Rattus norvegicus: one gene and its partners. The protein of the gene in region 2 interacts with the protein of the main gene of each other region in a biochemical or structural test. Links are inferred from orthologs where the notes say so. Each region holds a gene or a part of one and is shown on either strand. Other genes may lie near its edges. The genes, in order: Cyba, Noxo1 and Noxa1.

Evidence for each region.
Region 1: the proteins of Noxo1 (region 2) and Cyba form a complex in vitro, tested with the Homo sapiens proteins (3 studies listed by IntAct). The link is inferred for Rattus norvegicus from reciprocal best matches to the Homo sapiens genes NOXO1 and CYBA.
Region 3: the proteins of Noxo1 (region 2) and Noxa1 form a complex in vitro, tested with the Homo sapiens proteins (2 studies listed by IntAct). The link is inferred for Rattus norvegicus from reciprocal best matches to the Homo sapiens genes NOXO1 and NOXA1.

What each region holds. Positions count from the first base shown.
Region 1 is NC_086037.1:67,398,324-67,401,252, forward strand, and holds part of Cyba (cytochrome b-245 light chain), read right to left. Parts: intron 956-2,929; coding exon 886-955; intron 495-885; coding exon 420-494; intron 231-419; coding exon 147-230; intron 1-146. UniProt on the Homo sapiens protein: Subunit of NADPH oxidase complexes that is required for the NADPH oxidase activity that generates, in various cell types, superoxide from molecular oxygen utilizing NADPH as an electron donor.
Region 2 is NC_086028.1:14,226,602-14,231,044, forward strand, and holds Noxo1 (NADPH oxidase organizer 1), read left to right. Parts: upstream 1-1,603; 5' UTR 1,604-1,720; coding exon 1,721-1,786; coding exon of another isoform or gene 1,787-1,894; coding exon 1,895-1,975; intron 1,976-2,255; coding exon 2,256-2,331; intron 2,332-2,414; coding exon 2,415-2,592; intron 2,593-2,735; coding exon 2,736-2,917; intron 2,918-3,009; coding exon 3,010-3,123; intron 3,124-3,355; coding exon 3,356-3,473; coding exon of another isoform or gene 3,474-3,483; intron 3,484-3,564; coding exon 3,565-3,799; 3' UTR 3,800-3,940; downstream 3,941-4,443. Other genes in the region: Tbl3 (transducin beta-like protein 3), read right to left, coding at 4,084-4,193, 4,283-4,441. UniProt on the Homo sapiens protein: Constitutively potentiates the superoxide-generating activity of NOX1 and NOX3 and is required for the biogenesis of otoconia/otolith, which are crystalline structures of the inner ear involved in the perception of gravity.
Region 3 is NC_086021.1:28,300,905-28,305,347, forward strand, and holds the start of Noxa1 (NADPH oxidase activator 1), read right to left. Parts: upstream 2,920-4,443; coding exon 2,743-2,919; intron 616-2,742; coding exon 533-615; intron 1-532.

The DNA of each region.
Region 1 (2,929 bases), on a different chromosome or scaffold from region 2:
AGCACAAGGCCCTGGGTTCGGGACCCGGCTCCAAAAACAGAACCAAAAAAAAAAAAAAAAGAAGGGGGCTTGGGTGGACGATGTTACAGACCCATGAGGTGTTTTTCTAGTCTCCTGTTCCCCGGGGGATGGGCAGAGAGACTCACAGTAAGTGGAGGACAGCCCGGACGTAGTAATTTCTGGTGAGGGGCCCGAACAGCTTCACCACAGCGGTCAGGTACTTCTGTCCACTAGACAGCGGGAAGACAAAAGATCAGAGGGTCAGCACCAACCGCACTCAGAATCCCTGGTCACTCCTTATCCGCCCCCTTCCAGGGTTCTAGGTCCTTTTCCTCCTGGGCACATGAGGCCTTGGGCTGGAAGCTCTGGACAAGTCAGTTGGCTCTGTGGGGGCAGGTCCCCAGGTAGGAGTGACTTACCACCGCTCCATGGTGGAGCCCTTTTTCCTCTTTCCCCGGGGGTACTCCAGCAGACAGATGAGCACTCCTGCAACACTGAGGTGAGGTTAAGGAAAGCCACGCTAGGCCTAGGCCAGGGTGTACTACTGCCTACAGGTAAGTCGAGGCACAGCTCCTGCCCCATACCTACCCTCCACCCCGTTCAGTTCTCAGGCACTGTCCAGCAAGGTGGGGCGGAGGCGATGTACTCCAGTCCAAACCTTGGGATCTTGGGCCTCAGCTCCATGTTTGCCCAAACCCCACCCTCTGTGACCTTTGGAAGTGGCTGTCCAGCCCTGGGCCATGGCTTCTAAAACTGCAGACAGGGCTGGCCCTGCTTCCGGAGGCTGTGGCGGAACAGCTTATGTGTAGTGCTCTTGTAAATTCACACACTAGTCCTGGAAGCGCTCTCATCACCTCACCCTCCTGGCCCCCAGTAGAAGGATACATAGAGTAAGCACCAAAGTACCACTGCGTGAAGCGTCCCGCAGTAGCCACGATGCCCCCTGTGATGAGGACTAAAGATGGAGGGTGGTGGTTAGGACTCACCACCTGCTGCAGGAGTGAGCCAGCTTGACCTTGCCCCTGGACTTGGGACCACCTCCAACTCTCTGCCTACTGGAGCAGGGCACTGTACGGCATGGGGTTCAGGGACAGAGAGGACACTCGGGGAGGTGGCCACAGCAAGCGGGACTCCATTAGCTGTTGGTGCTACACTCGGGTTGGAATGTCAACTCTTCTCAGCTACGCTGTTACTTCCTGGTCCTTCTGTACGTAGTACATACTGAGTTCCATCCCCGTCGGGGGTAGGGGGTGGGAGGTGGGTAATAGCTGGGCGCTGGTGGCACACACCTTCAGTCCCAGCACTCAGGAGGCAGAGGCAGGCAGGTCTCTGTGAGTTGGAGGCCAGCCTGGTCTACAGAGGAACTTCTAGGATAGACAGAACAACAGAGAAACCCTGTTTGGGGGCGGTGGGGAGGGGGACGGGGGGAGGGGAGGGGGAGGGGCACATTCCTGCAGTATCGAGCTACCCTCACCCCCACTAATGTCTCGGCCAGCCCATCCAAGACTTCCTTACAGTAGAATACACACGAGTTAGGCTTGGTTCCCCCATGGGACCACACAACTCACAACTTCCCTCATTTCAGGAAGTTCTTTCTTGTATCTGTGTCTTTGGCTCAGATGACGTTGAAGTGATGCGCTCTGTAAATCACCAGTGGCTCATGCTGGTTTTGCTGTCGATACCGGATGGTCTGGAACTCCTGGTCTCCCTCCCCCGTGTGCTTGGGTTGCAGGCAGGGACCACCACACCCTGCTTCTTAACTAACTTTTAAAAATCGATCTCGTGTTCTAGTATATGAAATCAACCACGATTTACTGATGTGCTTCTCCCGTCTTTGGGATTTTGAGGGCTTCTGATCTAGGGCGATGGGTAAAGTAATGTGATTGTGCCTTTACACTTTCCTTGACCAATCGTAAGAGTGCATGGAAGGTATTTTGTGGAATTGGCAAGATGAGGGAGCGAGGAAAGGCACTTGCCACCACCAAGCCCGAAGACCCGAGTTCATCCCGACGGGATCCATCAGGAGAGAACGACTCCGTAAGTTGCCCTTTGACCTCCATAGGCTTACTATCTTAGCACCGTGGTGAACAACTATAATCGGAGTACTGGGGAGGTAGAGGCAAGATGGTCAGAGTTCAAGGCTAACCCCATGAGTTTGAGAACAGCCTGGGCTACAAGTGATTGTGGCTCAAACGAACCAGTGAAGGCTAGAGAAGTGGCTAGGTTGGTGGGGTGCTTACCTAGCGTGCACGAAGCTCTCAATGCAACCCCCAGGACTGCATAAACTGGACATGGTGGACTGGTAGGTAACCTCAACACTTGGAAGGTGGAGGCAGGAAGACATGAGTTCAAGGCCAGCCTCCCTTACATAGTACGCGCCAGGACAGGCTGGGATACACGAGTCCCTGAAATCCTAGTACTTGGGAGATGGCTGTGAGAGGACCAGGAATTCAAAGTCATCTTCTGCTACAGAGTGAACCTGAGACCAACCTGAAACCCTGTCTCAAAACAAACGGATAAATAAAAGCTAGGAGTCTGTTGTAGGCTTCGGAAGACCGTGATGCACCTGGCGTAAGGAGCATCTGAAGATGTCGGTTACGAAAGAGCTGGAGAGATGGCTCAGTGTTTAAGAGAACCGCCTGCTCTTCCAATGTATTGTTTTCTTAGCTAGGTGTGGTCATGTCTGCAACCTCCACACCCCTGAGGCTAAGCTAGAAGAATCACAGATTCCAGGTCAATACTATTTCAAACAATAAGCAAAAATTAAAAAAAATTTTTTCTTTCTATTCTAGAAGTTTGCAGTAAGTTTTACTCAGACTAAATATATGTGTGTGTGTGTATATATATATACATATACACAACATATATATATATATACACATGTATATATATACACAGCAGATAGATAGATAGATAGATAGATAGATAG
Region 2 (4,443 bases):
GTTTCTTAAGTGTAACCAGTCCTGGCTGACCTGGATTCTCTTTGTAGTCCAGGCTGGCAAGCGCTCTACCACTGAGCTAAATCCCCAACCCCCAACTCAGGAATCTTGCTGAAAGTAAAGGAGTGCTGAGATTAAAGGTGTGTGCCAACACTCCCTGCTGAGAGCAGATTTTTTTTTAAGATTTATTTTACTTATATGGGTACACTGTTTCAGACACACCAGAAGAGGGCATTGGATCCCATTACAGATAGTTGTGAGCCACCATGTGGTTGCTAGGAATTGAACTCAGGACCAGTTAGGAATTGAACTCAGGACCTCTGGAAGAGTAGTCAGTACTCTTAACCCCTAAGCCATCATCTCTCCAGCCCCTGAGAGCAGAATCTTAAAAAGACAGGGAGGAACCTCTTTCTAGCTCCAGAGTTGAGGGCTCCTTCGTGTGCATCTGAGAGGAAGCAGTGGCTATGTAGACTAGAGAGCATCTAGGGTTGGGTAGTGAGAGGGGCTCACAATTCCTCTAGGTCTCTAGTGGTAGGCACTCACTCCTTTGCCAGCTTCGCTCTTCTGGTTTCCGACATTTCTGAAAAAGCCAGTATGTAAATTGTTAAAGGCAATGTCAAGACTTGGCCAAGTAAGGAGGTCATGACCTAGGACAGAGGTCTGAGTGCTGGGTGCTAGGGAGCCTAAGGCAGTCATATCCTTTTTTTTTTTTTTTTCTCTCCAGAGCTGAGGACTGAACCCAGGGCCTTGTGCTTGCTAGGCAAGCACTCTACCACTGAGCTAAATCCCCAACTCCCAAGGCAGTTATATCCTAACTTTGGCAATTTAGCAAAACCCTGTCTCAAAAAACAAACAAACAGGGGGCTGGAGAGATGGCTTAGTGGGTAAGAGCACTGACAGCTCTTCCTAGAGGTCCTGAGTTCAAATCCCAGCAACCACATGGTGGCTCACAACCATCTGTAATGAGATCTGGTGCCTTCTTCTGGTATGCCTTAAGACAGCTACATTGTACTTACATATAATAAATAAATCCTTGAAAAAAATCTTAGAAAAACAAAACAAAACAAAAACAACCAAAAGTCAGCAAAACAAAAAACAAAACAGGGGTTGGGGTTTTGCTCAGTGGTAGAGCGCTTGCCTAGCAAGCGCAAAGCCCTGGGTTCGGTCCCCAACTCCGGAAAAAAAGAAAAAAGAAAAAAAAAAAGAAGTTTAAAAACAAAAAACAAAAAACAAAGCAACCAAAAAAGGACCCAGTAATTGATTCAAATTGTCTGTTGGTGCTGTACTATACTGTACTGTAGCCTGGGGCGAATTCAAAGAGCAAGCTGTTACCTGGCAGGAGGTCACAGCAGGGTGGGGGGAAGAGGCCGAGGAGCAGGTGAAGTTGAGATGGCAGACACTTTGATGATGGAACTCCCTATAGCTTTTCTTCCCTGGGCTAAGGAAAGAAAGAAGCCCCAGGTAGTTGTTTCAGAACAGCCCAGCCGTGTACAAAGGACTTCCTTTCTTCCTTCCACCTGCCCAGGTTTGCCCCTCCTCTTGGCAGTCTTCCTGTGATGAATCCTCTCCTTTTCTGTGTTTGAAGAACCAGGAAACTAAACTGTTTCCTGGAGTGTGAATGCTTTGCAGGGACTCCACTTAGGGCAGTGTTGGGGAATTCCACTTCACTTCTTCCGGATGCTCGGAACTCCTTCAAGCACCCGGTGGGAGGCCATTCATAATCATGGCAAGTCCAAGACACCCAGTATCAGCCCATGCTGTAGCCCTGGTGCAGATGGAACGGCTCCAGGTAGACCATACTGCCCCAGTCCCTCACCCCTGCCCCGATTGTCTCCAAAGAGGCAAAAGGGAGCTGGCAAAGTTGAAGGAGATGTCGCCTCTACCATTCCTCACACAGACGTTTGCCTTCTCTGTGTGCTGGTCAGACAACAGTGACACCTTTGCTCGCAGGAGCTGGGAGGAGTTTAGGCAGCTCCAGGTAAGGAACACTGGGGGACTGTATTTCATTTTTTTTTTTTTTTTTTTTTGGTTCTTTTTTTCGGAGCTGGGGACCGAACCCAGGGCCTTGCGCTTCCTAGGTAAGCGCTCTACCACTGAGCTAAATCCCCAGCCCCGGGGGACTGTATTTCAATGGTATCTTCCCCCATCCAACATCCTCTACATACTCCTTTCTGCCTGTAGGAGCTCTTCTAGGGACCCTTCCCTCCCTGGGGGATTCTCTCCACTTTCAGAGACTAACACAGGCTTTTCCCCATCAGAAGACCCTTAAGAAAATCTTCCCAGTGGAGGCAGGCCTGCTTCAGAGATCTGAACGAGTTCTTCCCAAGCTTCCTGGTCAGGCCTGCAGGAGTCATGGGATGGTAAGGCAAGTGTGGGTGAGTGGGGTCCCACAGTATGTGCTTGTGATACCCGGGCAGATGCTCCATTGTTGACACGTCGGGGACATACTGGCCGAGGCCTGTTACGTTTGCGGCTGCTGGAAACCTATGTACGGTCACTGCTGGCAACCTCACAGCACATAGTGACGAGCTCAACACTCAATAGCTTCTTTGCACCCAAACCTCTGGATCTGGAGCCCATGCTGCCTCCTGGCAGGTGATTAACCTTCGCCCTACTCCTAGCCCATGCACTTGTGGGAAGGGCAGGTGAGAAGGCTGGGCTGACCTATATATATGTGGGGAAAGGGGGATCTCCATCTTTCCTACTTATTTCTTACATGTGCTGGCTGTACTACCCAGCCTGGTGATCCTGCCCACCCCAGAGGAGCCCTTATCCCAACCTATAGGCAGCCTTGCCATTCATAGCCTGGAGGCTCAGAGCATGCGCTGCTTACAGCCATTCCACACTCTTGACACAAAAGACAGACCTTTCCACACTCAGGCTAAAGAAATTCTGGACATATTACTACGGCATCCTTCAGGTAAGGCCACTGTTAAGAACCTGGGGGTTTCCTCTCTGATCAAAATGGACACAGACTTAGGCATCTGAGCCCTTTCCTGGCCTCCTAAACAGGCTGGTGGCTGGTGGAGAACAAGGACCAGCAGACAGCCTGGTTTCCAGCTCCCTACCTGGAGGAGATAGCAACAGGCCAAGGCCAGGAGTCGGGCATGGCTGTTCAAGGAAGTGGTATGAGCTAATCCCTACTATAAACTCACTGCTATCAATGGACCTTTTGGCAAGGCAGAGACCATGCCCAGGAGGGAGGTGGTAGTGGGGCACTAGGCACGTGGGTGCTGCTTTGAGCCTTAGAAAGCTGAAGTGGGTTTCAGAGCAGTTCAGGGTGCCTAGAGGCAATCCCAGAAAAAGGCGAGGTCCCTGGACTTGCAGTTCTACCATGATCCCCAAATACCTATCCTAGGGAGGCAGTTCTGTGCTACCCAGGCCTATGAGGGCAGTCGCCCTGATGAGCTATCCGTGCCCTCAGGAGCACGTGTACATGTGCTGGAAACCTCAGACCGAGGCTGGTGGCTGTGCAGGTACAGTGAGGTGTGTGTGTCTCTGTGTGGTGGGGCAGTGGCAGGCCCTGCCTGGTGGTAAATCCTTAACCAAGCCCTGCTCTTCCTGCAGGTATAATGGCCAGACAGGCCTGCTCCCTGCAGTGTTGCTGCAACCTGAAGGGCTGGGTTCCCTCCTGGGCAGGCCAGGGCTCCCAGACAGTGGTGGGGCAGACAAGGTGACTGAGGGCAGGACTGTTCCCCCTGTAGTACCAACTCGCCCCTGTATGAGTGCCATCCAGAGCAGATGCTGCTCCATCACCCGCAGGGCAGTGGGACAGGAACAACGGACCCAAGTTCCCCCTTGAGGATTTGTATGGCCCTGCAGAGAGGCTGTACTGTCAAAGCCAACCTCAAGCAAAGCAGGGACGAGGGTGTGGCTCTATGACTGGCAGGGCCATGGGCCAGTCAACTTTCTATTTCCTCTAAATAAAACTGGAATGACTTCACCCAAATCTCACTGTGCACTGAGGGACTGGGGCAGGGGTGGGCTTGAATTTCTATAGATAACGCCTCGGTTGGCCAAGGATTTTGGGAGATTGATCAGATTCACACAAGAAGCCAAGATAGAAAAGTGCAGCTTTTATGTGTTTCACAGGGCTGGGGGCGCAGCAGGGAGTGGGGAGAGCTTCATGTTGTGCCATAGGAAGTCCAAGAAGGTGGCTGCTTGCAGGGTCCTGCTGAGCCTCTGAAAGTGCCGCTCTAGAGGACGACAAAGGAGGTTCGGGCTGGGTGGGGGCTGAATGTGAACCCGCCAGGAGCATCCCTGGACCCAGGGCCATGTCACGTACCAGTGTAGGGCAGCAAGGCCTCCAGTGCACCCCGCACACCGTCATAGGCCAGCAGCTCCTCAGGAGCCTCATGGCGCAGCAGCACACCAAGCACAGCCTGGGCTTCGTGGCAATGTCTGGAATTCGTGTTCCACGTGATACAGAAGCGCAGCAGGGCCTCT
Region 3 (4,443 bases), on a different chromosome or scaffold from region 2:
CTTGAACACCTGATCGCTGTGCCTGACAGGGGACCATGCCTACAGCCCCAAACCCTTCCAACTGTTCTGTGCAGTCCTTTTCTGCCTCTCAGGCCCTAACCTTATGAGGCCTTCATTTATCTCTGGACTTCCAACTGTGGTTGAAATCCCTGTCCCTCACTAGATATTCCACTCCCCCAGTCACCACTCCTGGACACTGGAGCCTGCAGCCCTGATTATCTCCTCCGTTCCTCCTCTTAGAGAGCTGGGTGGCCAGGCACATCTTGGGATAAGCCCTGGTTTTCACATTGGCACATTGACTCTAAATGCAGTGATCTTACTACTAGAGACATAAGGAGAGAACCGGAATGCTGAGAAAACACTGTAAATCTTTATAGGGACAGGAAACATGGGGCGGGGGGTGCTAACCAGAGCATCCTCACCCAGGCTGGAGGGGATCCAGAGGACAGACAGCAGGAAGTAGGAGCAAGCCTGGGTTTGCAGAGACAAAGAACCGTTTATTAAGGAACGGGGGATACTGCCGTGTTCTCACCTCTGCAGCTGGAAATTGGCCACTCCCCGCTGGAGGAAGCCAACAGCCATGCAGGTGTCCTTGGTCACTGCTTGGTCAAATGCCTAGGGACAAAAATGTGTGTGAACACCAAACCCAGTAACCTAGGGACTCAAAGCCACAAACACAAAGGGAAACGTATCAACAGATAAGGGCTGTTGCACAGTTAGAGCCTGGAGCCTGTGTTCTTGCATGGATTTCTCAGCTGCCCCAAGCACCTCACAACAGGCTCAGGGCACACCACCAAGGCAGAGAAACCCAATCTGTCCACCAGGAGCACAGAGCTTGAAGAAAACGCCCCAAAACGTCAGTAACAGTCATCTCTGAGAGACAGGACTGTGTAAATTTGAGGCTTTCCAAAATCTCTTTGCAGGGGCTAAAGAGGGCTGGTCTTCCAGAGGTCCTGAGTTCAATTCCCAGCGAGCTCATCTCACAAGCATCTGTAATGGGAGAATCCCCACCCACAAAACACATTAATAACTGTTTTAAGATCTCTCTTGGTAGGTCACACGGAGTGCACACTAGGTGTGTACTAGAGTCAGAGCCTAGAAGCCTCTGTGCACAGGAACTGCTGCACTTTCCTCATGCCATGCCTGGCCAGGTAGAGGGCTGGCTGGGAGCTGGGGCTGACTTTGAAGCTTTTCCATGCCACAGTCAGCCTGGAAACGCCATGGCTGCTCGTAGTAGATTCACCCAGCACCTCAGGCTTCACACCGACAGGCCCAAGTGCAGCCTTCTCAGACCTGCACACTTGGATTTCCTTATTGCAGTTATTCCACCAACTTCTTACGTTTCCGGGTCCAGCCGGTGTGCCTACGCTGTACACACAGACGTTTTATTGACTCAAGGCAGTGCCCGTTCTTCTTGTGGTAGAGCGTTTCAAACTCCTGTCTTGTGAGGAGGTGAGCGTGTGACTCACCGTCACCACCTGGTAACCGATCATTACATCCCCTTTCCTGGACAAGAACCTTTTGTTGTTCCGTTTGGCTTTTAAGACAGAATTTCTCTGTGTAGCCCTGGAATTCACTTTGTAGCCTAGGCTGGCCTCAACTCTGTTGCTTCAGACTCAGAGATCTGCCTGCCTCTGTCTCCAGAGTGCTGGGATTAAAGGCAGGCATCACCATGCGTGGCTCAAACAAAACCCTTTTAATGAAGAAACAGTAAGGACAGATGAATATGGAAGAGGTTGGCAAGGTGGCTCAGTGGAAGGACACTTGCCATCATGCCTAACGACCTCAGTTTGATCACTAGATCCCACACGGGGCAAAGAGAAAACAGACAAGTTTTCTCCTGATTTACACACACACGCACACACACACACACACACACACACGTGTTTTAATTAATTAATTAATTAATTAAAACTCTAAGAAAGAAATGATAAAGAGACTATCGCCACGCAGCTGTCTTCCTACTCTCACCCTTGTGCTCCGGTGTCTTTCCTTCTCACCTGTGTGGTGTTCACGTAGGTCTGCACTGTGGTCAGGGTGCTGAGGGTTTCTATCACACACCCAGGAATGGCTAGAACTTTGATGACCGTGAAGTGGGAAGGCAGTGCTGCCCCCTCTACAGTGTGCTCCCCTGAGTAGGTCTGCTTTGAGAAGCAGGTGGGAGGCATGCGAGTGCTCAGAGGCGGGAAGACAGACTGTGTGACACCGACTTATCACACGCATCTGCTAAAATCTGTGCCCCCCCCAACCCCCAACACACACTTTCCGTCCCACACTCACCTTCCGAGAAAGAGCAGAGCCCCTGCCTGCTCTGACCCAGCCACTGCCAGCCTTTGAGTATGCCCCTCCCTCAGTCCTGAGCACCTGAGCCTGGGCATGCCAGACTTGGTACAGAACTGCCACATTTAGCTTATGTGGCTATGGCGACTGAAGATACCCTGTGTCCCATTCTGGTCTCAACCAAGAGAGGGGTCTCCTAACCACAAAGCTCCAACCTGCCTCAGGCAGTCAGTAAGACAGAAAGAACATTAGTGAAACAACCTCTAGGAGAACGGCAGGGTAAAGGGCAAGGATTCCTCCCCTTTCTAGGTGGACTGTGAGGTGCAGAAGAGCGTGTTTTTCCTGGGTGCTCATTGGAAGATAAGGTGTCACGTCTGCAGTCACATCTTCATTTACATTCCGCTATAGGCCTCCACTAAGGATTGGGGTGCGGGATCTGTTTTCCAGTCCTGGGGCGCTTACCCTCAGCGCAGCCTCGGGATCCCCTGCCATCAGGTGCACGCAGCCCATGTTGAAGTACATCTTAGCCAGCGGCTCCCGGACATCTGAAAAGAAGCACAGTGCAGAGTCCCAGTCTTCGCGTGCTACGGCCAGTACGCCCCGGTGCCAGTCCCGTATCTGATCCCCTAGAGAGCTCATGGAGTGAGGACGCCTGCTTTGCGGCGAAGGAAGTTAGCGATTCTAGCTGAAGCGCGCGGGACAGGAAGAGTGTGCCCCACAGAAACTGGGGGACCGTGGGCCAGGGGCAGGGCCAGGGGCAAGGGGACCAGGACAACAACGAGAAGCAGCTGGTAGCAAGCCAACTGGAGTTGTGACAATCTGTCCTTGATACTGAGTAGATGGTCCAAGGCCGAGGCCCCTCTCTCACGCCCCGCCTTGAACCACTTAGCCTGAGAAGCGGTCTTCGATTACTTAGCCATGCCCCTTCATCCCAGGCAGCTCAGCGCCAATGAGGCCACAGTCATCTCCATATGGACACGCCCTCTCCACCTGTCCCGCCTCCTAGTTCTTGCCTCCTTCCCTGTTGGCCACACACCTTACTCAAGCCAAGCCCACTCCATCTTTTTCCCAGCAAGCTCAGAACTTAATTGGGCCGTGGCTGGGCCCCTCGGCGTCTTTTACGCCAATTAGCAGAGTGTTTAGGGGAAAACCGGGCGGAAGTGCTGCAGCAGCCGGGCCAAGGTTCCGGGACCAGTGTGGACCGTGCACAGCAGAGCTCCCTGCCCCAGAAGTCTGCGTCTGTCAGGCTAGGTGGGCAGCCTGATGGAGAAACAACAGCTCAAGGGCCGGTAGAGCTCGACCTCCGGCCCCGCCTCTTCGAAAGTGACCGGGTGGGCTTGGAGACTCCGGAGCTACAAGCTGAGCAGGACTGGATGCCATGTGACTAGCCAGAGCCCTCGGAAGCGGGGTTGAGGCTTTGGAGTCCATGGTGGTGCAGCCCACGAGGGCTTTCTCCACTAGTGGGCGCTGGCCTGGCTGCCCCTCTCCCTTGGGAGTGTGGCCACTGGGACTTAGTCTTCTACGCTGCTCTCCAGATGGAGAAAAACTAGCCCTTGGACAGGATTGCATCTTGTATAGATGGGTGGGGCGGCCCAATATAGACTCTGCACGACACCAGGAAGTTGATGTCCACTTTCATAATCCTGCTTGGATGGGGTCCCCCACAGTATGGGAGTCATATGCCTTACCCAAAGATGCTGATACAAACGTTAATCTCTTCTGAACTTTTCTCCCGGACACTTGGAGCACCATGGCTTGACCAGACCAGCTGTTGAAATTAAGCACCACAACACCCAATCCAAGCAGCTAGGCTCAGCCGAATCGCCGGCCCATCACCCTTCCCTGCCGGGTTGTTGATCTCCTGTGCTCAGAGTCACAGTTGATTGTCTTTCCTGTGCGACTCTGGCCAGCTAAGTTTCCATGCCTTCATGCGTGTCCTACCCAGGCTTTTTATGAGAGCTGAATGAGCTCTCACGGTGTCAGCAAACTGCTGGTTTGTCACCCTGAGCGGGGGTTGGGGGGTGGGGTTGGGGCGGCTCTGTCTCCCTTGGCATTTCTCTGTGAGCTGAGTTTCCTTAAACTGCTGCCTGGAGTGCATGAGTGTTGCTAACCTGCCTTCTTTAAGTCCTAGTGCAGCCATTCTACCTCAATACCCAGATCCCG